Callithrix jacchus: one gene and its partners. The protein of the gene in region 1 purifies or fractionates together with the protein of each later gene. This does not show direct contact. Links are inferred from orthologs where the notes say so. Each region holds a gene or a part of one and is shown in the gene's direction. Other genes may lie near its edges. The genes, in order: G3BP1, FXR2, FXR1, TRIM21, TARDBP, MKI67 and YBX1.

Evidence for each region.
Region 2: the proteins of G3BP1 (region 1) and FXR2 purify together in Homo sapiens (affinity purification with mass spectrometry; 3 studies listed by BioGRID and IntAct, with this or other methods). This does not show direct contact. The link is inferred for Callithrix jacchus from reciprocal best matches to the Homo sapiens genes G3BP1 and FXR2.
Region 3: the proteins of G3BP1 (region 1) and FXR1 purify together in Homo sapiens (affinity purification with mass spectrometry; 3 studies listed by BioGRID and IntAct, with this or other methods). This does not show direct contact. The link is inferred for Callithrix jacchus from reciprocal best matches to the Homo sapiens genes G3BP1 and FXR1.
Region 4: the proteins of G3BP1 (region 1) and TRIM21 purify together in Homo sapiens (affinity purification with mass spectrometry; 3 studies listed by BioGRID, with this or other methods). This does not show direct contact. The link is inferred for Callithrix jacchus from reciprocal best matches to the Homo sapiens genes G3BP1 and TRIM21.
Region 5: the proteins of G3BP1 (region 1) and TARDBP purify together in Homo sapiens (affinity purification with mass spectrometry; 3 studies listed by BioGRID, with this or other methods). This does not show direct contact. The link is inferred for Callithrix jacchus from reciprocal best matches to the Homo sapiens genes G3BP1 and TARDBP.
Region 6: the proteins of G3BP1 (region 1) and MKI67 purify together in Homo sapiens (affinity purification with mass spectrometry; 3 studies listed by BioGRID and IntAct, with this or other methods). This does not show direct contact. The link is inferred for Callithrix jacchus from reciprocal best matches to the Homo sapiens genes G3BP1 and MKI67.
Region 7: the proteins of G3BP1 (region 1) and YBX1 purify together in Homo sapiens (affinity purification with mass spectrometry; 3 studies listed by BioGRID and IntAct, with this or other methods). This does not show direct contact. The link is inferred for Callithrix jacchus from reciprocal best matches to the Homo sapiens genes G3BP1 and YBX1.

Annotation. Positions count from the first base shown.
Region 1 is NC_133503.1:50,740,861-50,743,627, forward strand, and holds the end of G3BP1 (ras GTPase-activating protein-binding protein 1), read left to right. Parts: intron 1-821; coding exon 822-1,028; 3' UTR 1,029-2,267; downstream 2,268-2,767. UniProt on the Homo sapiens protein: Protein involved in various processes, such as stress granule formation and innate immunity. Plays an essential role in stress granule formation.
Region 2 is NC_133506.1:74,085,407-74,087,676, reverse strand, and holds the end of FXR2 (RNA-binding protein FXR2), read left to right. Parts: intron 1-55; coding exon 56-151; intron 152-339; coding exon 340-440; intron 441-1,076; coding exon 1,077-1,172; 3' UTR 1,173-1,770; downstream 1,771-2,270. UniProt on the Homo sapiens protein: mRNA-binding protein that acts as a regulator of mRNAs translation and/or stability, and which is required for adult hippocampal neurogenesis. Specifically binds to AU-rich elements (AREs) in the 3'-UTR of target mRNAs.
Region 3 is NC_133516.1:9,219,982-9,223,481, forward strand, and holds part of FXR1 (RNA-binding protein FXR1), read left to right. Parts: intron 1-51; coding exon 52-259; intron 260-3,500. UniProt on the Homo sapiens protein: mRNA-binding protein that acts as a regulator of mRNAs translation and/or stability, and which is required for various processes, such as neurogenesis, muscle development and spermatogenesis.
Region 4 is NC_133511.1:69,716,676-69,720,658, reverse strand, and holds the start of TRIM21 (E3 ubiquitin-protein ligase TRIM21), read left to right. Parts: upstream 1-1,183; 5' UTR 1,184-1,253; intron 1,254-3,561; 5' UTR 3,562-3,638; intron 3,639-3,983. UniProt on the Homo sapiens protein: E3 ubiquitin-protein ligase whose activity is dependent on E2 enzymes, UBE2D1, UBE2D2, UBE2E1 and UBE2E2.
Region 5 is NC_133508.1:48,894,193-48,897,692, forward strand, and holds part of TARDBP (TAR DNA-binding protein 43), read left to right. Parts: intron 1-1,203; coding exon 1,204-1,374; intron 1,375-2,693; coding exon 2,694-3,224; 3' UTR 3,225-3,500. UniProt on the Homo sapiens protein: RNA-binding protein that is involved in various steps of RNA biogenesis and processing.
Region 6 is NC_133513.1:121,424,362-121,428,557, reverse strand, and holds the start of MKI67 (proliferation marker protein Ki-67), read left to right. Parts: upstream 1-1,396; 5' UTR 1,397-1,675; intron 1,676-2,031; 5' UTR 2,032-2,117; coding exon 2,118-2,209; exon of another isoform or gene 2,210-3,457; intron 3,458-4,196. UniProt on the Homo sapiens protein: Protein that associates with the surface of mitotic chromosomes and acts both as a chromosome repellent during early mitosis and chromosome attractant during late mitosis.
Region 7 is NC_133508.1:79,348,634-79,351,596, forward strand, and holds the end of YBX1 (Y-box-binding protein 1), read left to right. Parts: intron 1-419; coding exon 420-654; 3' UTR 655-685; intron 686-2,095; 3' UTR 2,096-2,463; downstream 2,464-2,963. UniProt on the Homo sapiens protein: DNA- and RNA-binding protein involved in various processes, such as translational repression, RNA stabilization, mRNA splicing, DNA repair and transcription regulation.

The DNA of each region.
Region 1 (2,767 bases):
GCCTGTTAACTGCATTGGCTCTGTTAGGAGGAAAAGAAGACCAAGACTATTCGAAATTCTTAGAAGGTGAACAGCAAGTTAAAGTTTGTCAAATCAATGAAGGTTTTATTTGAAATGTATATGTACTTTGCATAAATATGTGCAGTGCCATCTTTTCACATTGGTGATGATGCAGTTTTATTCTAGGCCTCCACCATCTGTGGAGAAGGTGGCAATTCTTTATTCAATTTACGTAATTCTATGAGAAAACAAGTACTTGGGAGGCTGGGGCAGGGAGAAGTGTTTGAACCCGGGAGGTGGAAGTTGTAGTGAGCGGAGATCTTGCTCACTTCAGCCTGGGTGATAGGCAAAACTTCATCTCATTAAAAAAAACAAACAAAGCGGAACTGTGAGAACTCAGTTGATGTATAATCTGCTGGTTCTTTTTTTTTTTTTTTAAGGAGACGGAGTCTCGCTCTGTTGCCCAGGCTGGAGTGCAGTGGTGCGATCTCAGCTCGCTGCAACCTCCACCTCCTGGGTTCAAGCAATTCTCCTGCCTTAGCCTCCTGGGTAGCTGGGAATACAGACATGTGCCACCATGCCTGGCTAATTTTTGTATTTTTTTAGTAGAGACAGGGTTTCATCATGTTGGTCAGGCTAGTCTCAAACTCCTGACCTCGTGATCCTCCCACCTTGGCCTTCCCAAATGCTGAGATTTACAGGCGTGAGCCACCGCCCCTGACCGCTGCTGTTTTGTTTTGTTTTTTTTATAGCTTTTTTAATCCTCTGTTGTCATAGCCAGCTTATCAGTACTCTAAGTCTGGTCACCTTGATTCTTACAGCCCATCATGTTCAGAGGTGAGGTTCGTCTGAACGTGGAAGAGAAGAAGACTCGAGCTGCCAGGGAGGGGGACCGACGAGATAATCGCCTTCGGGGACCTGGAGGCCCTCGAGGTGGGCTGGGTGGTGGAATGAGAGGCCCTCCCCGTGGAGGCATGGTGCAGAAACCAGGATTTGGAGTGGGAAGGGGGCTTGCTCCACGGCAGTGAATCTTCATGTATCTTCACGGAGCCATACGAACCCTAGTTCCTACAGAATGGTGAATTTCTTCGACCAGCCTTTGGTATCTTGGAGTATGACCCCAGTCTGTTATAAACTGCATAAGTTTGTATAATTTTACTTTTTTTGTGTGTTAATGGTGTGTGATCCCTCTCTCCTTCTCTTCCCTTTCCTGCCCTTTAGTCTTTCACTTCCAATTTTGTGGAATGATATTTTAGGAGTAACAGATTTTTAAAGAAGAAAAAAAGAAAAGGACTGAATTTCCTTGCTTACTTTGCATATGCAGACTGGACTTTTTTTTTTTTTTTAACAGCCATTTCCCCAAAGGAATGTGTCTTGCATATTACTGACATTTGGTATGTTTCATTCATTGGAATATTTCTTATTTTCTACAAGTTTCAAAAGCCTGTGAGACAAACAGGATTTGATAACATTTTGAAGGCAGGAAAAACCCAAATTGTTTCTTCTTTGAGAGTCATGGCTTCTTTCTGGTGTGGAGAAATTGCCATTGGAAAATTTGACAGTTTTGATTCTCACTGGTATGTTTAAAAGGAATAGAATTTTCTTTTGATAGAGGATCACAAAACAATTCTAAAACCTACTGTTTTTACCACTGAAATTTAAATTGTGATATATAGGTTTTAAATGTCTAGAATGCAGCTGATAGGCTTTTCATGAACTTAGTTTTTTTGAAATAGAGTTTTTTTTCATGTTTAATTTGTATTTGTAAAAAAAACAAAAAACAAAAAAATTCCCCAAATCCAGATAACAACCAGAGCAAAACTGTTGTGCCTTCTATTTATCTTTGATTTCAGTCTTGGCAGTTGTTTAAAGAAAAATAATTAAAAAAAAAATCTAGATTTGTTTATTATTAGGTTCAGAGTATGTGGGGAATTGTAGAATCCCTCTTTCATCAACTTACATGTCTTCTGTTAACCTATTTGTTATGCCTTATTCTAAAATTGAGTCTCAAACTGGAATGCCTTTGAAGACAGATGCTTCTATAGAGGTTCTTTGGCCTAAGTAGTTCAGCATTTGTATTAAGTTTTATTTTGGTATCTAATCAGATTCCTAATCATAGCCCATAAGAAGGAATGTGACTTTAATATTGGACTTTGCTGATGTGCTCGTGTAAATTTTCTATTTTGTTATGGTTCTCTTATTGATGGGCATGCAGTGGGTGTTTCTTGGAAATGGCCAATTTTTATTAAAATATTTCTGGAAGAAAATTTAATCTGGCAATATAGACTAATACTCGTTTCACATATGTGTTGTTTGTTGAGTGCTGTGTGTGAGATGGGTGAAGATTTTGTTTACAAGTGTGAAGCAAGCCTTTGTGTGATTACTTGTCATTACTAATTGAAGGGCAACCAGGTTGTCAAAGTCACTTATTTATTTTCTTAACAGTATTCATCTTGAGGACTGTCATTTGAGGATAGTATAGGAATATTTGCATTATTGAGAAACTCTAGGTTTGCTCTGAAGGGGTCAGTTAAGACTGAGAAACTCTAGGTTTGCTGTGAAGGGGTCAGTTAAGACTACAGTGAAGTTGGTGTTACTAGTTTGGTTCCACTTCCTCAAATATTTGAAAATTGGCAGCATCTCCTTTACATAAACATAACTGAATCACATGGCTTTTCTGGAGGGTTAGTTTAAGTAACTTTGGTAACCACTTTGACCCAGATCAGTGATAATAGGAAGAAATACAACTTGTACTTTTGTAGCTTAT
Region 2 (2,270 bases), on another chromosome or scaffold:
AAGAATTGAGGGTGGGAGGTTGGATGTGTGACTCTGGTTTTTCCCTACCCTACAGAAGACGAATCAAGACCCCAACGTCGTAATCGCAGCCGCCGCCGCCGTAACCGTGGTAATCGGACTGATGGTTCTATCAGTGGAGACCGCCAACCAGGTCAGCCAACTTTGGACACCAGAATTCTTCCTCAGAGCTGAGAGAATGGGATACTTCCTACCCTGTGAAAATCAGGGGTTCGGGTTCAGTGGGTATCTTGGGCTGGCTACCAGAATTCCATCTTTTTTTTTTCTTTTGTAATTTTCATGGCAAACTATCTCAAAGTCTTAATGTCCTGCCTTCCCTAGTGACTGTGGCTGACTATATCTCACGAGCAGAGTCTCAGAGCCGCCAGCGGCCACCCCTGGAACGCACTAAACCCTCAGAGGACTCTCTTTCAGGACAGAAGGTAGGCAGGCAAGATGTGGTTTACTCTATCATTTTTTTTTATTATTATGGGGCAGGGGGTGCACAAAATTTCACAAAGAAATTTACCGAGGCTGGGGGTGGTGGCTCACGCCTGTAATCACAGCACTTTGGGAGGCTGAGGCGGGTGGATCACCTGAGGGTGTGAGTTCGAGATCAGCCTGACCAACATGGAGAAACCCTGTCTCTACTAAAAAATACTAAATTAGCTGGGTGTGGTGGTGCATGGCTATAATCCCAGCTACTTGGGAGGATGAGGCAGGAAAATGGCTTGAACCAGGGAGGCAGTGGGTGCTGTGAGCTGAGATTGCGCCATTGCACTCCAGCCTGGACAACAAGAGCGAAACTCTGTCTCAAAAGAAAAAAGAAATCTGTTACTGAATTGCAGAGGCAGTTGTGTCTGATGGAGTTTAGAATAGTGTCAACTTCGAATGGGATAGAGAGGATTATGTAGTTCACATTTTCTGGATCCCAAGTAAGAGAGACTGGATCATGGGATCAAGGAACCAACCTCTGGATCACCAGATGCCAGGAGTGCTTGGATGGTAGGAAATGTCCCTCACCTGAGTTTCTGCTCACCGTGTGCTTGATTTTGTTTTCTTTCCCACTTGCTTCTCAGGGTGACTCTGTCAGCAAGCTTCCTAAGGGCCCCTCGGAGAATGGGGAGCTCTCTGCCCCCTTGGAGTTGGGTAGTATGGTGAATGGGGTTTCATAAAACCTCCAGCCTGCATCCCTCCCTTCTCCATCTCGCTTGCTGCCCAACACCATGGCCCTCACAGGCCCAACTGACCTGCGCTGGAGCTGCTCTTATCTAGGGGGGAGGGGGGTGGCACAGCAGCTTGGGTACCCCCCAACCTCCAGGAGCTAGTGGAGGGGTGTGTAACAGGGTCATACCCCCTCCCTCTTGTCCACCCTACCCCCAGGGTAAGGGGAGCCTCTCTCCCCCATCAGACTGGATGTGCCTTTATCCTCTAATGCCCCAATCTCTCTCTGAACACCCCCATTCTCCACCTGTTGGTGGGGGGGTGCTCCTTGACCCACCCAGATTTGACCGTTCAGGGGGCCTCCCCTGCTATCCCTCCTCCCATCCTGTACCCCCCATTTCTGGGGCCTCATCACTGTGGAAGACGGGGATAGTAAGAGATAAGTGGGTGGGAGGCACGGGGAAGGTTTTGGAGTAGAACCAGGGGTGTATATGAAGGGGGGTGACAAGGTCCCCAGGGGGAGGGGACCGACCTTGTCTGGTGGATGAGAAGGCGTATTTATTTTTCACTGTACAGTATTTAAAAAGAGAATAAAAAAATCCAAATGGCTCTGTGGCTCCTGTGCCGCCTTTGTCCCCAGTTTGGTCCATCTGTTTCTTTAGGACTGACCTGCCCTAGCCCCTGGCTCATTTTCTTTTCCTCCATACCTGATTTCTCATTGTCTCTTGTCCCAAAGATGGTCTGTCTTCTGGGAATTTCTGACATTCTTAAACTCCCCAGGTCCAGGTACTCGCTCCTGGTCCAGAGGGGAGGGGGTCTTGTGCCTTATTGCTTCTCTCCTCCCCCAAGTTTGCTGGTAGAGGGAGTTGGGCCACTCCTATACCCTGAGTCATGGCACAGGCTAGGCAGGGCTGCTCAGAGCTGGAGCTGTTCCTGCTAGAAGCTGGGAGCCAAGGCAGGCTGCTTAATCCGATTACCTGAAGCCTGGGGCTTGGGCTGGGCCTTGGCAAGAGGGGAGCAGGGTTCCCTCACAGCAGCCTCTGAAAGCCTGGTGTCCAGCCTTCTTTCCTTGCTGGTGTTCTGATCTGGCTCTAAGCTTTTTCTCCAGC
Region 3 (3,500 bases), on another chromosome or scaffold:
GCTTTAAGAAGACAAAAAGTCACGTTCAACTCTTTTTTGTTTTGATTGTAGGAAGTAGAACAGCTAAGAATGGAACGCCTACAGATTGATGAACAGCTACGACAGATTGGTATGGGTTTCAGACCTTCTTCCACCAGAGGGCCTGAAAAAGAGAAAGGATATGCCACTGATGAAAGTACCGTCTCTTCTGTACAAGGTTCTAGGTCTTATAGTGGAAGAGGCAGAGGTCGTCGGGGCCCTAATTACACCTCCGGTTATGGTAAAAAAAACCTTTTTTTGTTTTGTTTTATTTCTTTTTTTGGTAATAGTAGTAGTAGTAATAGTAGTTATAGTTTAGGTGCTCTAACACATTTTCTTATAATTCATTACTCTATCTTGGCTTTGAGGGTAGAAGGTAGTTCTGGAGGTTTAGTACATTTCTTAGTAAAGTGGTGATGGTATACATTAAAATGACAGTAAAATACATAAAATTTCCAAGTAGTTATGTAATGAAGCAAAGTATGTTTTTAAGTTGGTAGTTCATAATTATGTTTATTATAAATATTTAGAAAGAATACGTATGTAACTTGGTTTTCAAATATTTTGCTAGTATAGTTTTATACCTTTCCAAGTAAATACCTAGTAATGGTGGTGATACTTTTAGGAATCATCTTTGTCTACCCTCTTAAAATAAAAAATGAAAAGTATGTGAATCAGTGCCAAGGTTGCATATAGCAAGTCTTTACTAGCTTTTAAAAAATACTTTATTGACTCATTTGGTATGTTTCAATATATTAACATCTCGTATTTGGAATTATTTTGTATAATAACATTTTACTAAAATGAAGGCTTTAAAAGCCAGAATCTAATTTAATACTTTATAAATGAACATTTTCTAAAATGTATTTCACTGTGAGGATTGGGTCGTTATAACCCAAGTAGGAAGAGGACAGTGGAGTGGTGATAGTCTACAATTCTCTAATCCTCAATTCTCCCTTATTCTTCTTCAGCTTTGGAGTTGTTCCGTTTTTCTCCATTCGGACTTGGATCTTAGCAGTGCCTGATTTGTTTTTTGCCTTCACCCATTTTCTTTTCTCTTTTCCGTTCCTTTTCTTCACTCTTGTACTTACTTTCTTTTGAGGAAATACTTTATAAATCCTTTTTAAAAATGTAAGGCATTTAAGGAAAATAGCGATAAATGCAAATTTCGTGATTAATTGAAGGATAATCTAATACTGTAAAAATTACAGTGAGCTTGAACTATCTTTCATTTGTTGTAGAGTTGTAAGTTGGTGTCCCTTTCTGTTAATATCGTATTTTTATATTCTCATTTTCTTACATATATATTTTTATTTAATGCTGTATTGAAACGTAAAAAGCAAAATTCTAATAAAGAAATGGTCAGCATATAAGGGACCGAAAATTGCAAACTATTACTATATTCCTGAAAATATATTTAATGCAAAACACGGTTAACCAGTAATCACACAGAAATTATATTTTCATTGATTTTTGAAGCATACATATTATTAGCATAATTAGATTTGGCTTATTGGATGATGAATATGATGAATTCATTGAAGAATTTTATTAGCCTCTGGGAATTCTGCTTATTGATGAGAGCTTACTCTGGCAAAATGCTTTTGTTGAGATTAGATAATGAATTTATATGAGAGGTAGAAAAACATCATCTGGATTTAAGAAAGCTATGCAAATTCTTCAGTAGATGGCACTCTTAGCTCTGAATCATTGCAGAATTAATACCATTTTATTTCTTGAAATAGTTATTTAACCTGAGTGGGCTTGAAAAAACATTTGAATGTGGTTGTAGATGTTCATGTATACTTTATATCAGAGGGACTTTTAGGTGATTTATATATATATATATATATATATATATATGTAATATAACGAGTACTATAGTTCATCAGTTTAATAGGAACTGTTAAAAACATTTCCCAGTGTAACATCTCTGAAGTTGTTATGTCTGTTAAATTGGACATCTTACAACTTTAATTAGCAGTATTTTCTCTTTTTTAATGGCATGTAAAATAATATCTTAGAATTGATGTCATCTTGGATTTGATAAAATGTGATTATTTTTTAGCTGTTAAGCCTAGCACAAAAAACAATTGAAATTGATGTATACCATCTCATGATAAGGTGAATTTAGAAGTTTGAGGTGAAAATATGATATTAAAATTGATTAAAAACACGATGTCATGGAGACATTTAAAATTAAATTAGTGTCGTTACTTTTAAACTTGTTTAAAAAGACTTTGAATCACCAACTTGTATTTTATAAAATTGAGGGATTAGAATAAATGGTTTCACTGGTTTCCTTATTCACTTTAATTGCAGTAATAAATTACCACAAACTTGTAGGCTTGAACCACAGACATTTATTGCCTTATATAGTTCTCTGTTGGTCAGAAGGCTGAGATGGGTTTCACTAGGCTAAAGTCCTGTCAGCTGGGGTACATTCATTTCTGGAAGGTCTGGGCAGAGATTTCCCTTTTCTGAAGTTGAGAAAGTTTCTCTACTTTGAAGGAGCCAGTGAGATTAGTTTGAACCCACCTGGATAGTCCAGGATAATTTCTCTCTTTCACGGTCTTTAACCCTAGTCACATTTGCAGAGTCCTTTTTGCTATCCCAGAAACATTTAATATGAGTTATTAAGAGTTTTTAATAATCTTGATCAGTAGCCAATTCATTAAAACTTTGGGGGTGGTTTGGCCTTAATTAACAGTTAACTGTTGAAATCTATTATTTAGACATTTCTTCTGAGTATCTTGAATTCTATATATAGGTTAAATTTAAGGAAGACTTTCTTTGCTGTGACACTGGGTTAGATAAATAGTAGACTAGATTTCTAAGGTTACTTGAATAGGAATTTTTGAGAGAATCTTCAAAATTAAGTATTCTTGATTTGCCCTGAATTTTGGTAATGTTTTCAGGTAGGGTATAGGTTTGTAAATAAATTCAGAAGTTCTTAAACATTCCAAAGGTTTTTTTCACTCTTCAAGGAAAGATAAATTGCCTTCATTGCAACTTCTATGTTAATAAAGTGCTTTTTGTCATTTGGAGAAATAAATGTTAGGGGAGATAAAGTCCCTTTCCTGAGATTGTATTTCCCAACAAAGAATTGAGAGTGAATAATAGAAACTTGATGTATTCAAGTTGACATTTTATTCCCTGCACCTTAATACTTAAAACTTTTTATGTCTGAAGAGCTCTTGTTTGCATTTTTTCTCAAATGATTGTGGAGCTTAAATATAGGGAACTTCAAGGTGTTTCATGAAATCACTCTTGTCTGAGAGTTTAGCAAATGAACTTCAAAATAATGCAGTAGATTTTTTGCTTGGAAAATTGTTACACACTTTGCTAGGCATTTGAGGACTTATAAGATGGAGTACTACCCTGTATCGTAGACGAATTTTGAAGTAATTCCCAAGGGGAGGAAAATAACACAGCACAGTCTATGATAGATACGGGGTGATTTTAGGATAACAAAAAATGGG
Region 4 (3,983 bases), on another chromosome or scaffold:
GTGGTACACATACACAATGGAGTACTGATTAGCCATAAAAAGGAGAACCTTTCATTTGCTACAACATGGATGAAAAATAGGGGTCATTATGTTAAATAAAATAAACCAAACACAGGCAAACAACCAATTGTACATTCTCACTAATAAGTGGAGCTAAAAATTAGAACAATTGAACTCATGAAGATAGCAGAATGATGGTTACCAAAAGCTGGGAAGGGTAGCCAGGAGTGTGTAGGGGGGTGATTAATGGGTTCAAAATACATGAGATAGAATGAATAAGATCTAGTATTTTATAGCATAACAGGGTGACTACAGACAATTTATCATACATTTTAAAATAATTAAAAAACATATAATTGGATTGTTTGTAACACAAAGAAGTGATAAATTCTTGAGGTGATGGATACCCCCACTTACCCTGATGTGATTATTACAGACCGTATGCTATACCTGTGCATCAAAATATCTCATGTAGCCCATAAATACATACATCTACCACAGACACAGAAAATTTAAAATTTAAAACAAAATTACTTGGGTAAATTTTATATTCTGTGTATTTAACGATTAAAAATTAATATAACCTGAGAATGTCCCTAGCTCGGTGATAAGAACATAGTTGGTTATCAGATGTCAATTCCCTTCTCACCACTCACTGGTGGGATACTTACCTCGGGGTCATGCGAAATAAATCACTCACCTGCAGATGTTAAAAAAATAATAGTCACATCAGTCACATGAAAAGAATTAGCTTCTGGAAGTAAGAAACAGATGACGGCACGTGAGGGAGAGCACCAGCCACTATTCTCTGCATCCAACCCTCCTTAAAAGCAGCTTCCAGACATGGGCAAAGCATCTAGGTGTGGGGTGATAACCAGTGTCAAAGAAAGCAGCCCGGACTCCCCCATCTTGCAGATATTTTACTAAATCAGATAATGAAGACATGGGAGGGGGTGCGCACCCAGGACCACAGGCTACTGGGCTTCCATTACTTCCCAGTCTCATAGAAGCCCCCTGGCTGTCCAGAGCCTCTGAAGCCCCCCGCCAGCCCAACTCTGACTTCTCTCCTCCCACCTCTCTTCCTTCTCAGCGGCATTTCTCCACACACCCTTTCAAGGCTCCGCTCCTCCCACGGCTCCTCCCTCTCTCCTCTCACGGCTCCTCCTCCCTCCCCTTTCCCGTCAGACTTGCCTCTGAGCGGAAACTGAAAGTGAAATAGGGAGCTGGCTACCCGCGTTGAGTCCCCTGTAAAGGTGAGTGAACCTCACTAAATCAAGGAACCCCTGCCCTCCTAGTGGACCTCTCCCCTGCCCCAGGGCTGCAGAGCCCCTTCCAACCAGTCTCCATCCTTGAGCCGGTCCCATTTGCCCCTTCTCCCACCGGGGATCCCTCAATCCAAGCCCCTCTGTGCTTCCGAGGCTGGTCTCCTAACCTGGAAGGAGGCTGGGGTATGGACATGACTGCTGCGGAGTTACCCAGAAGGGGTAGGGTTCCGGGCACTTGGGAGGAGACTGGGGTGTGGGACGTGACTGCGGAGTTACCCAGAAGGGGAAGGGTTCCGGCTGCCCCCTACTTGGGAGGAGGCTGGGGTGTGGACGTGACTATGGAGTTACCCAGAAAGAGAAGGGGCCTGGCTGCCCCATTGCTGGCACCTGAGCTGGGATGAGAGCTGGGTGCAGCTGAGAGAGCCAGCACTACTGCCTAGCCAGGAGCGTGGGGGAGATCTGCAATCCTGGAGACTCCCAGGTCCAAAAGTCCTCCAGAGGTGAGGGGCAGGCTGCTTAGGATGTTCAACCAGAAATGTATAGGCCTTCAAAATTACTCTTTGTCATAGAAGAAGTGATGTCAGGAACTAAACTAAGTTTGGAGCAGCTGAAAGAAGAGCCCAGGGAGTGCTGGCCACAGTTCCTGTTGCTCTGTGTGAATACATTCACATATACATGCTCATGTACATACATATACACCTGACTTTTGCCAATATTGGAATGATTAATGAAGATGTATTCAAAGCATGTGTAGTATCTCTGGCACATGGAAGGTACATGGTTAAAAGTAGCTATTTTATGACTAGTTTCTCAGCAACATGGAGGCCTGCTGGTACCAGAAAGAAGATGAATGGGCACTGAGGGTTTAAGCAGGAATGGACATGAGAGAACTGTCAGCTTTATGAGGTTCTTGCCAATTTTCACTCCCTCCTTTAGGGACTCAGTTTCTCCTTCTGTCCCAGTGGATCAATGGGCCAAACAGTGGAGGAGTTCTTGTTATTCAGAAGAATAAACTTATTAAACAAACTATTTGGTCCATGCAAAAGTAATACTGTTTTTGCCATTAATTATTTTTCCATTAATATTATGCCCTTTTTTTTTTTTTTTTGGAGATGGAGTCTCCCTCTGTTGCCTGTGCTGGAGTGCAGTGGCACCAACTCAGCTCACTGCAACCTCCACCTCCCAGGTTCAAGCAATTCTCCTGCCTCAGCCTCCTGAGTAGCTGGGATTACAGGCACCCACTACCACTCCCAACTATTTTTTGTATTTTTAGTAGAGACAGAGTTTCACCATGTTGGTCAGGCTGGTCTCAAACTCCTGACCTCAGGTGATCCACCCACCTCGACCTCCCAGAGTGCTGGGATTACAGGCGTGAGCCACCATTTTTATTTTTTTATTTTCCGTTTCATCATTTTGTTTTTCTTTTTTTAGTTTTAATTTTTCTGGGCATGTAGTAGGTATATTTATGGGCTACATGGAACATTTTGATACAGGTATACAGAGCCACCATTTTTATTTTTTTATTTTCCTTTGCATCATTTTGTTTTTCTTTCTCTAGTTTTAATTTTTCTGGGCACATAGTAGGTATATTTATAGGCTACATGGAATATTTTGATATAAGTATACAATGTGTAATAACCACATCAGGATAAATGGGGCATCTAGCACCTTAAGCATTGATCATCTGTGATAAACTATGCAATTATACTCTTTCAAATGTACAATTAAATTATTGACTATCGCCACCTGTTATGCTATCAAATACTAGATCTAATTCACTCCATTTTTGTACCCATTAACCATCCTACTTTTCCCCCAACACATCCTCCCTACTATTCTTCCCAGCCTCTGGTAACCATCTTTCTATTATCTAACTCCATGAGTTCAATTGTTTTGATTTTTAGCGCCTACAAATGAGAACATACAATGTTTGTCTTTCTGTGCCTGGCTTATTCCACTTAATGTAGTGACCTCCAGTTCCATTCATGTTGTTGTAAATGACAGGATCTCATATTTTATGGCTGAATAGTACTCCATTTTGTATATGTACCACATTTTATTTATCTATGTATCTGTTGATGGACACTTAGGTTGCCACCAAATCTTGGCTATTGTGAAACATACTGCAATAAACATGAGTGTGCAGATATCACTTTGATACAGTGATTTCCTTTCTTAGGGGTATATACCTAGCAGTGGGATTGCTGGATCATATGGTAACTCTATTTTCAGTTTTTTGAAGAACCTCCAAACTGTTCTCTGTAGTGATCGTACTAATTTACATTTCCACCAACAGCTTATGAGGGTTCCCTTTTCTCCACACCCTCACCAGCATTTGTTATAGCCTGTTGGATAAAAGACATTTTAACTGAGGTGAGATATCTCATTGTAGTTTTGATTTGCATTTTACTGATAATCAGTGATGTTGAGCAACTGTTCATATGCCTGTTTGTCATTTGTATGTCTTTTGAGAAATGTCTATTCAGATCTTTTGTCCATTTTTGAACCAGATTATTACATTTTTTTCCTATAGAGTTGTTTGAGCTCCTTACATATTCTGATTATTAATCCCTTGTCAAATGGATAGTTTGCAAATATTTACTCCCATTCTGTGGGTTGTCTCTTCACTTTGTGGATTATTTTCTTTGCTGTGCAGCAGGTTTTCAATTTGATGTGATCCTATTTGTCCAATTTTGCTTCGGTTGCCTATGCTTGTGG
Region 5 (3,500 bases), on another chromosome or scaffold:
CTGAATATTTTATGCTTGTTGCAGATATTTAGTTTATTACTTCTTCAAACTAAAGCTTTGTTCATTTTGTTCTTTTTGTTATGGATGTGAAAGAGAAAAGGTTATTTGTCAAGTTAAGTTTCCTTACATAGTTATATGTTAAAACATGAAGACAATCAGAATATATATATATATATTAATCTTGTTATAAAATCTAACTTTGTCCAAGCAAACAAGTAACATCTGCTTATTTGGCACATCATCATCTTTGCCAGGAGATTGGTCATTTATTGATTTTCTCAAATCCAAATACAGTCATGCATCACATTGCAAAATTCATCAGTCAGCAGTGGACCAAGTGTACAGTAGAGGTCCCGTAAGATTATAACACTGTTTTTACTGTCCCCTTTCCATGTTTAGATATACACGTACTTACTATGGGGTTACAGTTGCCTGCAGTGTTGAGTATAGTAACTTGGAAGTTTGTGGCCTAGGCGCAGTAGGCTATACCATCCAGCCTAGATGTGGGGTGGCTATGCTATCTGGCTTTCTTTCTTTTTTCTTTTTCTTTATCTCCAGTAATGGCTATCAGCAATGTAGAAGCTATCTGGTTTTATATGATGTTTGCACAATGATGAAGTTTTTATTTTTATTTTTTTTAATTTTTTTGAGATGGAGTTGTTGCCCAGGCTGGAGTGTAATGGTGCAGTCTCAGTTCACTGCAACCTCCCCTGCCCAGGTTCAAGCGATTCTCCTGCCACAACTTCCCAAGTCACTGGGATTACGTAAAGGCGCCCGACACCACACCCAGCTAATTTTTGTATTGTTAGTAGAGATGGGGTTTTGCCATGTTGACTAGGTGGGGTTGGTCTTGAACTCATAACCTTAGGTGATCTACCCACCTCACTCTCAAAGTTCTGGGATTACAGGCATGAGCCACCACACCTGGCCACAGTGATGAAATGGTATAACGACTCATGATTCATTTCTCAGAACATATTTCCATCATTATGTGATGCATGACTGTGTACGTTTGTAACTTAAAATGTTACTCTTTATTGAAGCCTTACAAGAAAAAGAAATGTTGATGCAAAAAAATTAAGAGTATGTCCCTTTTTAATAACTCACTACTATCCAAGGCAGAAAGATTTTGTTATATCCCTTACCTTAATGCTTTTTTCATTGTTTATATTTGAGTTTTTTCCTTCCTTTTGATTTGACCAGCAAAGTGCAGATGAGCCTTTGAGAAGCAGAAAAGTGTTTGTGGGGCGCTGTACAGAGGACATGACTGAGGACGAGCTGCGGCAGTTCTTCTCCCAGTACGGGGAGGTGATGGATGTCTTCATCCCCAAGCCGTTCAGGGCCTTTGCCTTTGTAACATTTGCAGATGATCAGGTATTTTTCTCCTTAACAATATGGGCCAGGTAATTAGGTAATTTCTCTTGAACATTTCCCATCCAGCTAATTGCTGTTCTTAGCTAAGTTTTTTCACCTTATAAGATGTAGAGTGTATGGGCCTAGATGTTCCCCCCGCCCCAACTTTTTTGTTTTTTGAGATGGAGTCTTGCTCTGTTGCCTAGGCTGGAGTGCAGTGGCACTTCTCTTACTGCAGTCTCCGCCTCCCAGGTTCAAGCAATTCTCCTGCCTCAGCCTCCTGAGTAGCTGGGACTATAGATGTACATCACCATGCCTGGCTAATTTTTGTGTTTTTAGTACAGGTGGGGTTTCACCATATTGGTCAGGCTGGTCTTTGAACTCCTGGCCTAGTGATCCACCCTCCCTGGCCTCCCAAAATGCTGGCATTACTGATGTGAGCCACCATGCCCGGCTACAAATACAACATTTTTAAGAAATTTCTAAAAGTAAATCAACCTTTAGATAATTTTCAGTATATGGCATTTGGGAATGTTAAATATTTTTTTTTTGAGACAGAGTTTTGCTCTTGTTGCCCAGGCTAGAGTGCAGTGGTGTGATCTCAGCTCACTGTAACCTCTGCCTCCTGGGTTCAAGTGATTTTCCTGCCTCACCCTTCTAAGTAGCTGGGATTAACGGCATGTACCACCACGCCCAGAGATGGAGTTTCACCATTTTGATCTGGCTGGTTTGAACTCCTAACCTCAGGTGATCCGCCTGCCTCAGCCTCCCAAAGTGCTGGGATTACAGGTGAGAGCCCCCACACACACCCTTTTTTTTTTTTTATACAGGGTCTCACTCTGTTGCCTAGGCTGGTGGAATGCAGTGGTGTAATCAGAGCTCACTGCACCCTAGAACTCCTGGGCTCAGCCTCCAGGAAGAGAATCCTCCAACTTCAGCCTCCCAAGTAGCTAGAACAGGTGCATGCCACCATGCCCAGCTAGTGTGGTTTTTTTGCAGGGTTTTTGTCTTTAATAGAGGTGGGGTCTCACTGTGTTGCCCAGGCTGTCAGACGAGTCTTAAACTCTTGGCTTCACACAGTCCTCCCACCTTGGCCTCCCAAAGCACTAGGATTACAGGCATGAGCCACCATGCCGAGCCTATGTCTTTTGAAAATAGACTGAAATATCACTGCTGCTATTACTAAAACTAAAGCTGTATTGTGGGGTTAAACAAAATGAGCATTCATTGCTTATTTTTCCTCTGGCTTTAGTTAATGCTTGTAATCTAAGTTTTGTTGCTACTTTGATGTATAAATCAGTGGTTTAATCTTATTTGTTTACATCCCTTATTTCTTGTAGATTGCGCAATCTCTTTGTGGCGAGGACTTGATCATTAAAGGAATCAGCGTTCACATATCCAATGCCGAACCTAAGCACAATAGCAATAGACAGTTAGAAAGAAGTGGAAGATTTGGTGGTAATCCAGGTGGCTTTGGGAATCAGGGTGGATTTGGTAATAGTAGAGGGGGTGGAGCTGGTTTGGGAAACAATCAAGGTAGTAATATGGGTGGTGGGATGAACTTTGGCGCATTCAGCATTAATCCAGCCATGATGGCTGCAGCCCAGGCAGCGCTACAGAGCAGTTGGGGTATGATGGGCATGTTAGCCAGCCAGCAGAACCAGTCAGGCCCATCGGGTAATAACCAAAGCCAAGGCAACATGCAGAGGGAGCCAAACCAGGCCTTTGGTTCTGGAAATAACTCTTATAGTGGTTCTAATTCTGGTGCAGCAATTGGTTGGGGATCAGCATCAAATGCAGGGTCGGGTAGTGGTTTTAATGGAGGCTTTGGCTCAAGCATGGATTCTAAGTCTTCTGGCTGGGGAATGTAGACAGTTTGTGGTTGGTTGGTATAGAATGGTGGGAATTCAGATTTTTCTAAACTCACTGGTAAGTATATTGTAAAATACATGTACTAAGAATTTTCAAAATTGGTTTGTTCAGTGTGGAGTATATTCAGCAGTATTTTTGACGTTTTTCTTTTAAAAAAGGAAGAGCTAAAGGAATTTTCTAAGTTTTGTTACATGAAAGGTTGAAATATTGAGTGGTTGAAAGTGAACTGTTGTTTGCCTGATTGGTAAACCAACACACTACAATTGATATCAAAA
Region 6 (4,196 bases), on another chromosome or scaffold:
ACAACAGCAAAATGAAAACAGTGCATTACTTCACATTTTTGTAAATCTCTGTAATACCTGGTTGAATAGGAGACAGCGGGAGTCTCCTCACTGCTTCTGCATTTGTGGAATGCACCCCATACTCTTGGGAGCAAGAGAATGAGAAGGGCAAGTAACACTGAGGGTCATTACCGACATGGTTTTGATCTCATGGACTGCCCTGAAAGGAATAGGAAACCCTCAGGGGCCCCTCCACACAGTGAGGACCTCTGCTCCCGATCAAGAGAGCCAAGCTCCAAGGCTTGTTGAGGAGCTGGAGGAGGTGAGATGTGGGGGTGGGGTTGTCACCAGAAGCTTGTTTGGGCTCCATTCACTTCACCCCAGGTGGCCCACCAGCACAACAGAGGCAGACCCCATAGAATCCTGTGTATAATTATTTTAGGGTTCACCCATCTTGGCATGCACAAGGCATTTCAATCGAAGAATGTTTTCTAATAACAAAACATTGTAAACCTAAATATGTGGCAATAGTGAGGATTAAGTACATTGTGGTTTCCTGAAGCCCAGTGCTCTGCAGCCACGAAACGAGAGTAAAATCGAGAATGTGCTCAGTGGAGACAGCCTCAGGATAGTTAAAAGCAGAGAACACAAAAGTCTAGAACGGCGTGTATGTTATGATCTTTTTTCTATGCTTTTGAAAAAAGAGAATACACGTATAGCTGGAAAAGACACACGAAACTACTTTATATAATGGGTTGTATTTGTTAAGATGTATGGAAGGAAGAGGGAGGTTTTATTTTTTAATTTTTGTATTTAATTTTTTCATTGTTATTATTTTTTGAGACAGGGCTTTTGCTCTGTCGTCCAGGCTGGAGTGCAGTGGCGCGATGTCAGCTCACTGCAGCCTCGACCGCCCGGACTCAAGCGATCCTCCCTCCTCAGCTCTCCCAGTGGCTAGAACTACAGGCTCCACCACGCCCGGCTAATTTTTTGTAGAGACGGTTCTCTCGGCCCAGGCTGGTTCTGAACTCCCGAGCTCAAAAATCCTCCTGCTTCACCGCGCCCGGCCTGAGGTTTTTTAATATTTGAGAGTTTTACATCTTCTGGCCATGGGCAACGTTATAGTGTCCCAGGTGTTGGGTCCTTTAAGACAAGGGTGGCCGGACGGGCCGTCCCGGGGGCCGGGCTCGGTCTCAGCCCTCCGCAGGCCGCCCTCTCCCGGGCTGCACCGGGTCTTCTCCTGCGGACTAGGGCGCCAGCCCCGCCCCGGAGCCCCGTTTCCCCGCCCCCCGCCCCGCCCACGTCCTCGCGGCCTTCCTATTGGTCCCGCGCCGCGCTTTCCCGTTCAATCGTAGCGCTTAGCGCCAGAATTTGAATCTCCGTTTTCGTTTGAATTGGGCGGGCGCGCGGGGCTGGCGGAAGGAAGCTCCGGGCTGGCGGGACGACTCGGTGGCACCCGCTAGGATCGGGCGTCGGGGGACGCCGCCTGTAGGGACACCGGGTCCCCGTCGGGGCAGCGGCTGGAGCAGCGGGGGCTGCGGGCCGGGGCGGAGCGAGCGCGGCCCGGGGTGTGCGGCAAGTGGCGGGCGCCGCGGCCGGGCCGAGGTGAGCGCGTCGCCCGCTCCCCCTGCGGCGGACTTTGGGTGCGACTGGAGCGGTGGTTCGACAGGCGGCCTTGCGGGCCGGATCGTCCCAGGTGAGCTGCGGCCGGGACTCCTGGGAACCGTCCGGAGTCGGGGGCTGAGTCGCGGGGACCGCCGATCCCCACCCCGAGCTCTGCGGGGACGCGCAGCCTGGGCTCGCTCCTCCTGGGCTCTGGCGAGGGCGTCCCTGTGGAAACTCCCGGGAGGCGCCGGCGACAGCACCCCGGCCGCGGGACTTGCTGGGGGCGCCGGGGGCTGCGGTCGGACCGTGCCGGGGTCCCCGCTGGCCAGCTACGCTGTGCGCCTGTGCGGCCGGAGGTGGGCGCACGGGGCGCGCGGCCCTGGTGGGTCGCTCGCGGGTCCCTTCTCAGCTCCTTTGCTCTCACGGTAATCCGCGCCTCTCTTGCAGGGAGGAGTTGTGAGCCTGCTTCTGGGCAGACCTATTGGTACCTGGCCTTCCTCCGCGGGTTATATACCCAACTTAGCGTTTAGAAAATGGGGCCCACGAGACGCATCGTTACTATCAAAAGGAGCGGGGTCGACGGTCCCCACTTTCCCCTGAGCCTCAGCACCTGCTTGTTCGGAAGGTGAGTCCCGCGGGCGCGCGCGGACGTTTTTGGCCGAGAAAGGAAAATGGCTTTATCACAGTACGTGGCCCCGGAACGTGCTCTGCCATCGGGTCCTGCGGTCGCATTTCCTTGGTGCTTCTTCCATGTTACTGAGTTGACAGAGCTGTGTTTTGTTGGTTTTGCCAAGTAGACATTTGATGCTAGTGTTCGTATATTTAAGTGGTTTTAGAAATCAAGCCAATTGAAAAACTGGGTTTTCTAACCGCGATAAAGAAAGATGTAGATGGTCTTCATACCTCACTGGCTTCAGGCGGGCGTCAGAAGACACTGTGTGCCCCTGGGACCCTCGGTAGTGGGCATCCCTGGCCACATGGGACACTGAGAGAATGAAGGCTCTTGGCTCTTTTGGGCGATAGGAAAACGGGACAGAAAGTCTTCCTGCCTGGCATTTGAGAACCTTTCCTCTTACGTTGCTGTCCCGTTTGAATAACCCTGTTCCTGTATAACAAACAGGCACTGTTGCTAACAGTGCCCCTGTCAGCCTCTGACATATGTCCCACTAGAGGCCCGAGAAGGGGTCACTCCCTATGTGGTCTGGGTCCTGACTCCTATCCTCGCCTCACCCCATCCTCCAGACCCCATCCCCTACCTTGTTCCTCCCACCTAAGGCATTCCAAGCCCTGTTCACCTTGGTACTTTTTACACACTTGGAAGTTTATCATGGGAAAGTTCTCCCTTTCCCCAACCTTGTGTGATTTCCATCATTCAGGCATCAGGTTAAATATCGCCTCTGAAGAAGCCTTGCATGAAAGCTTGTATTTCCAACCCCATGGCTTCAGGGGTAAGTTGTGGGGTTTTGTCTCCCACTAGACTGAGCTCCCCAAAGAAAAGGACTATCTTGTTACTAATCATGTGTGCAGGGCCAGGGATGGTGCCTGGTATAGGGGATCTCTGCTTAGCATTCTGGCAAGGGTCAGTAGAAACACGGGCTAGCGCCACGGATTTGCGATCACTTGATAGCAGTGGTTCTCACAGGAGGGTTATCTTACCTTCCACAAGTCATTTGCTAAAATCTGGAGAATTTCCATGTCACAATACAGGGGAGGGGAGCATGTGCTGTCATCACGGAGGAGGGGTCAGGGTGGGGATCCTACCAGGCTCAGGGCAGCCCCCACAATACAGAAGCATCTGACCCAAGATGTCAGCAGTGCCATGGCTCAGAAACACTCATCTACAGGCGTCTTCCTCCTAGACAAATTCTCAGTTGTAAGGGATAGTCTCTCCGTTGCTCAGATGTTCTGTTACCTTAAAATCAAATTATCTTATTGGGGTTAAAGAAGCTTTTCACTTTTCATAGATACCTTTCTTTTGAAAAGGAAAAATATAAACATTTCATTTTAGGTGGCAGTTCCTTTGCTTTTTTACAGTAGTACTTGAATATATTTTCACACAAGATTTTGTAATTTAGAAACTAATTCGCGTTTGGTCACATAACATGGGTAGGAAGAGGTATTGTTAGACTCTAAAGGAGAACAGACAGGCCTTGCACACTTTGTTCAATTTTTATTTTTATTTTTATATTTTTTGTTTGTTTTGGAGACAGAGTCTTGCTCTGTCACCCAGGCTGGAGTGCAATGGCATGATCTATGCTCACTGCAACCTCTACTTCCCAGGTTCAAGCAATTCTTGTGCCTTAGCCTTCTGAGTGGTTAGGATTCAGGCGTGAGCCACTATGCCTGGCTAATTTTTGTATTTTTAGTAGAGACAGGGTTTCACCATGTTGGCCAGGTTGGTCTTGAACTCCCGACCCCAGATGATCCACCTCCTCGGCCTCCCAAACTGCTGGGATTACAGGCGTGAGCCACCGTGCCTGGCCCCAGTTTGTTCACATTTTTAAGATCACAGGTTAGAACAGGAATGCCGAAGACTCCAGGAACCTAATGGTTCTTCGGATTATTAGTTTGTGCAGGTTTGGGAATTGTCTCTTCTGCTGCTTTGCCAAAGC
Region 7 (2,963 bases), on another chromosome or scaffold:
TACTTTTATGAAGGGAACATGTTTGGTTTTGAACAGGCTGGATTTTAAACACATGCCTTTTTAGGAATTGTTCATCTGTAAAGGTTATACTGTTTACAAATTTGTTTACCACTTAGCCCATTTTGATCTTTTAGAATGACAGCAAAATGTTGATGGCATTTGCCTACTATTAGCTATTTCAGGATTCATTCTGTAATGCTATGAACAAAAAAGTTTGCTAGTCCATTAAAACCAGTTTTTAAAAGTCATCTTCCAGTTTATACTCCCATCTCCTTACACAAATTGCCTACAGGCCACTTGATACAGAGAACAGGCTAGGCATGATGAATTAGTTGAGTGAACCAAATGGTAACACTGCTGGTGGGTGTGTTGAAGAGAAGAGGTTTTATCATTCTTAAGTTTGACAACATTTATTGCAGGGGCCCTCCTCGCCAAAGACAGCCTAGAGAGGACGGCAATGAAGAGGATAAAGAAAATCAAGGAGATGAGACCCAAGGTCAGCAGCCACCTCAACGTCGGTACCGCCGCAACTTCAATTACCGACGCAGACGCCCAGAAAACCCTAAACCACAAGATGGCAAAGAGACAAAAGCAGCCGATCCACCAGCTGAGAATTCGTCCGCTCCCGAGGCTGAGCAGGGCGGGGCTGAGTAAATGCCGGCTTACCATCTCTACCATCATCCGGGTAAGCAACCCTGGATGGCCACCATTTATGGCAGTCATGAATGGTGTCCATTTCATTTTATTAATGCAAGAGTGGGGAAAACTCAATTCTATCAGATAACGAAAGCCATGTTATTTACATTGTGTTCTGCCCTATTCTTAATTACCTAAATATTTCATTTTAGGAGTATTGAGTATCAGAATCATATTTGGCCACCCCTCAGCTAGTTCTCAATTCTGACACTGGAGACCTGTATTTTCATGAGTTTTTTGAACTATTGGAGCTTTCTATCAACTTTTCTGAACTTTGTGATTTGACCAGTAAGCTGAGAAAAGTTTCCCTAGCTGTATTCTGAGAAAAGTTAATTAACATTGTTATTTATGCATTATTTAATAAAAGAAGTAGTATAGCTATTAGAATGAACCTATACAGTGACAGAGTCTGTTTGGGTAAAGTGGCAACATGGATAAAATCTTTTTTTTTTTTTTTTTGAGACTGGAGTTTCACTCTTGTCCAGGCAGGAATGCAATGGTGTGATCTCAGCTCACTGCAACCTCCGCCTCCTGGGTTCAAGTGATTCTCCTGCCTCAGTTGTCTGAGTAGCTGGGGTGACAGGCATAAGCCACCACGCCCAGCTAATTTTTTGTATTTTTTGTATTTTTTTTTTTTTTTTTTTTTTTTTTTTTTGAGTCGGAGTTTCGCTGTTGTCACCCAGACTGGAGTGCAATGGCACAATCTCGGCTCACCGCAACCTCCGCCTTCTGGGTTCAAGCAATTCTCCTGCCTCAGACTCCCAAGTAGCTGGGACTACAGGCATGCGCCACCATGCCCAGCTAATGTTTTGTATTTTTAGTAGAGACGGGGTTTCACCTTGTTGACCAGGATGGTCTCGATCTCTTGACCTCGTGATCCACCTCGGCCTCTCAAAGTGCGGCGTGAGCCACCGCACCCGGCCCATTTTTTGTATTTTTACTAGAGATGGGGTTTCTCCATGTTGGTCAGGCTGGTCTTGAACTCCTGACCTCAGGTAATCCACCCATCTCGGCCTCCCAGTGCTGGGACTACAGGCATGAGCCACTGTAATCATCTGTAGTTGTTTTTTGTTGGTTTATTCAAACTGTAGGTTAATAATAATAATGCTCTGGCAGACCACATGATACATTTACGTTCTTGTTACCAGCTCACTTGTTTTTGTTAACCTTAAATTTCAAAATTAAGGGATTCATTTTCATTCAGCTTTTTGCATGATACTGAGAGGTGTATGATTGTCGTTCCCTCCGAAATTAGCATTCAACCAGAGATGATTTGCTAGGTGGCAAAAGATCTGTTAATGTCTCCCAATATATAAGTAATGTAAACTAGAGTATGTACTACATTAAATGAAGATTACCATGAATTCTACATGATCATCTTTGTTTTTTTTCTTTACAGTTTAGTCATCCAACAAGAAGAAATAAGAAATTCCAGCAATAAGAAATGAACAAAAGATTGGAGCTGAAGACCTTAAGTGCTTGCTTTTGCCTGTTGACCAGATAAATAGAACTATCTGCATTATCTATGCAGCATGGGGTTTTTATTATTTTTACCTAAAGATGTCTCTTTTTGGTAATAACAAACGTGTTTTTTAAAAAAGCCTGGTTTTTCTCAATACGCCTTTAAAGGTTTTTAAATTGTTTCATATCTGGTCAAGTTGAGATTTTTAAGAACTTCATTTTTAATTTGTAATAAAAGTTTACAACTTGATTTTTTCAAAAAAGTCAACAAACTGCAAGCACCTGTTAATAAAGGTCTTAAATAATTGTCTTTGTGTAAATTTCTGTCTAGTTTTGCTTTAGTTTATAAGTTCTTAGGTATTTATAAGACCCTTAGCCCAGTCTACAAATAGATGATGCTCACTGGTAATTCCCTCAGGTAAAATGTCTTTAAAATCTCTAATCCTTTTAAGTGGCATGCCTGTGGGTTCATACTGAAAATTAGAAAATACATATTCTGATAACCTGGCCATTTTTAAGGAAGACTTTGTGGTGTAGATTTTGTGTGGGTTCCTTTGGCTGTGTGGCAGTGCTTACAAGGGATGCTCTAGTCTAGACTGGCCAGATTCTGATCCTTCTCCACTTAGTTTTGTCACCTAGGGAGAATTTATTTCAATATGCCAATTGAAGATGCCAACTTAAAGTGTTCAGAGAACCTGTTACAGGGCCTGATGTGGTCACCAAATACTGGTTCAGCTCCTTATGTCCTAGAAATGGGAATAAATAATACAAAAACCCATGGGAAAGCTGCTTAAGAACATGGAGGT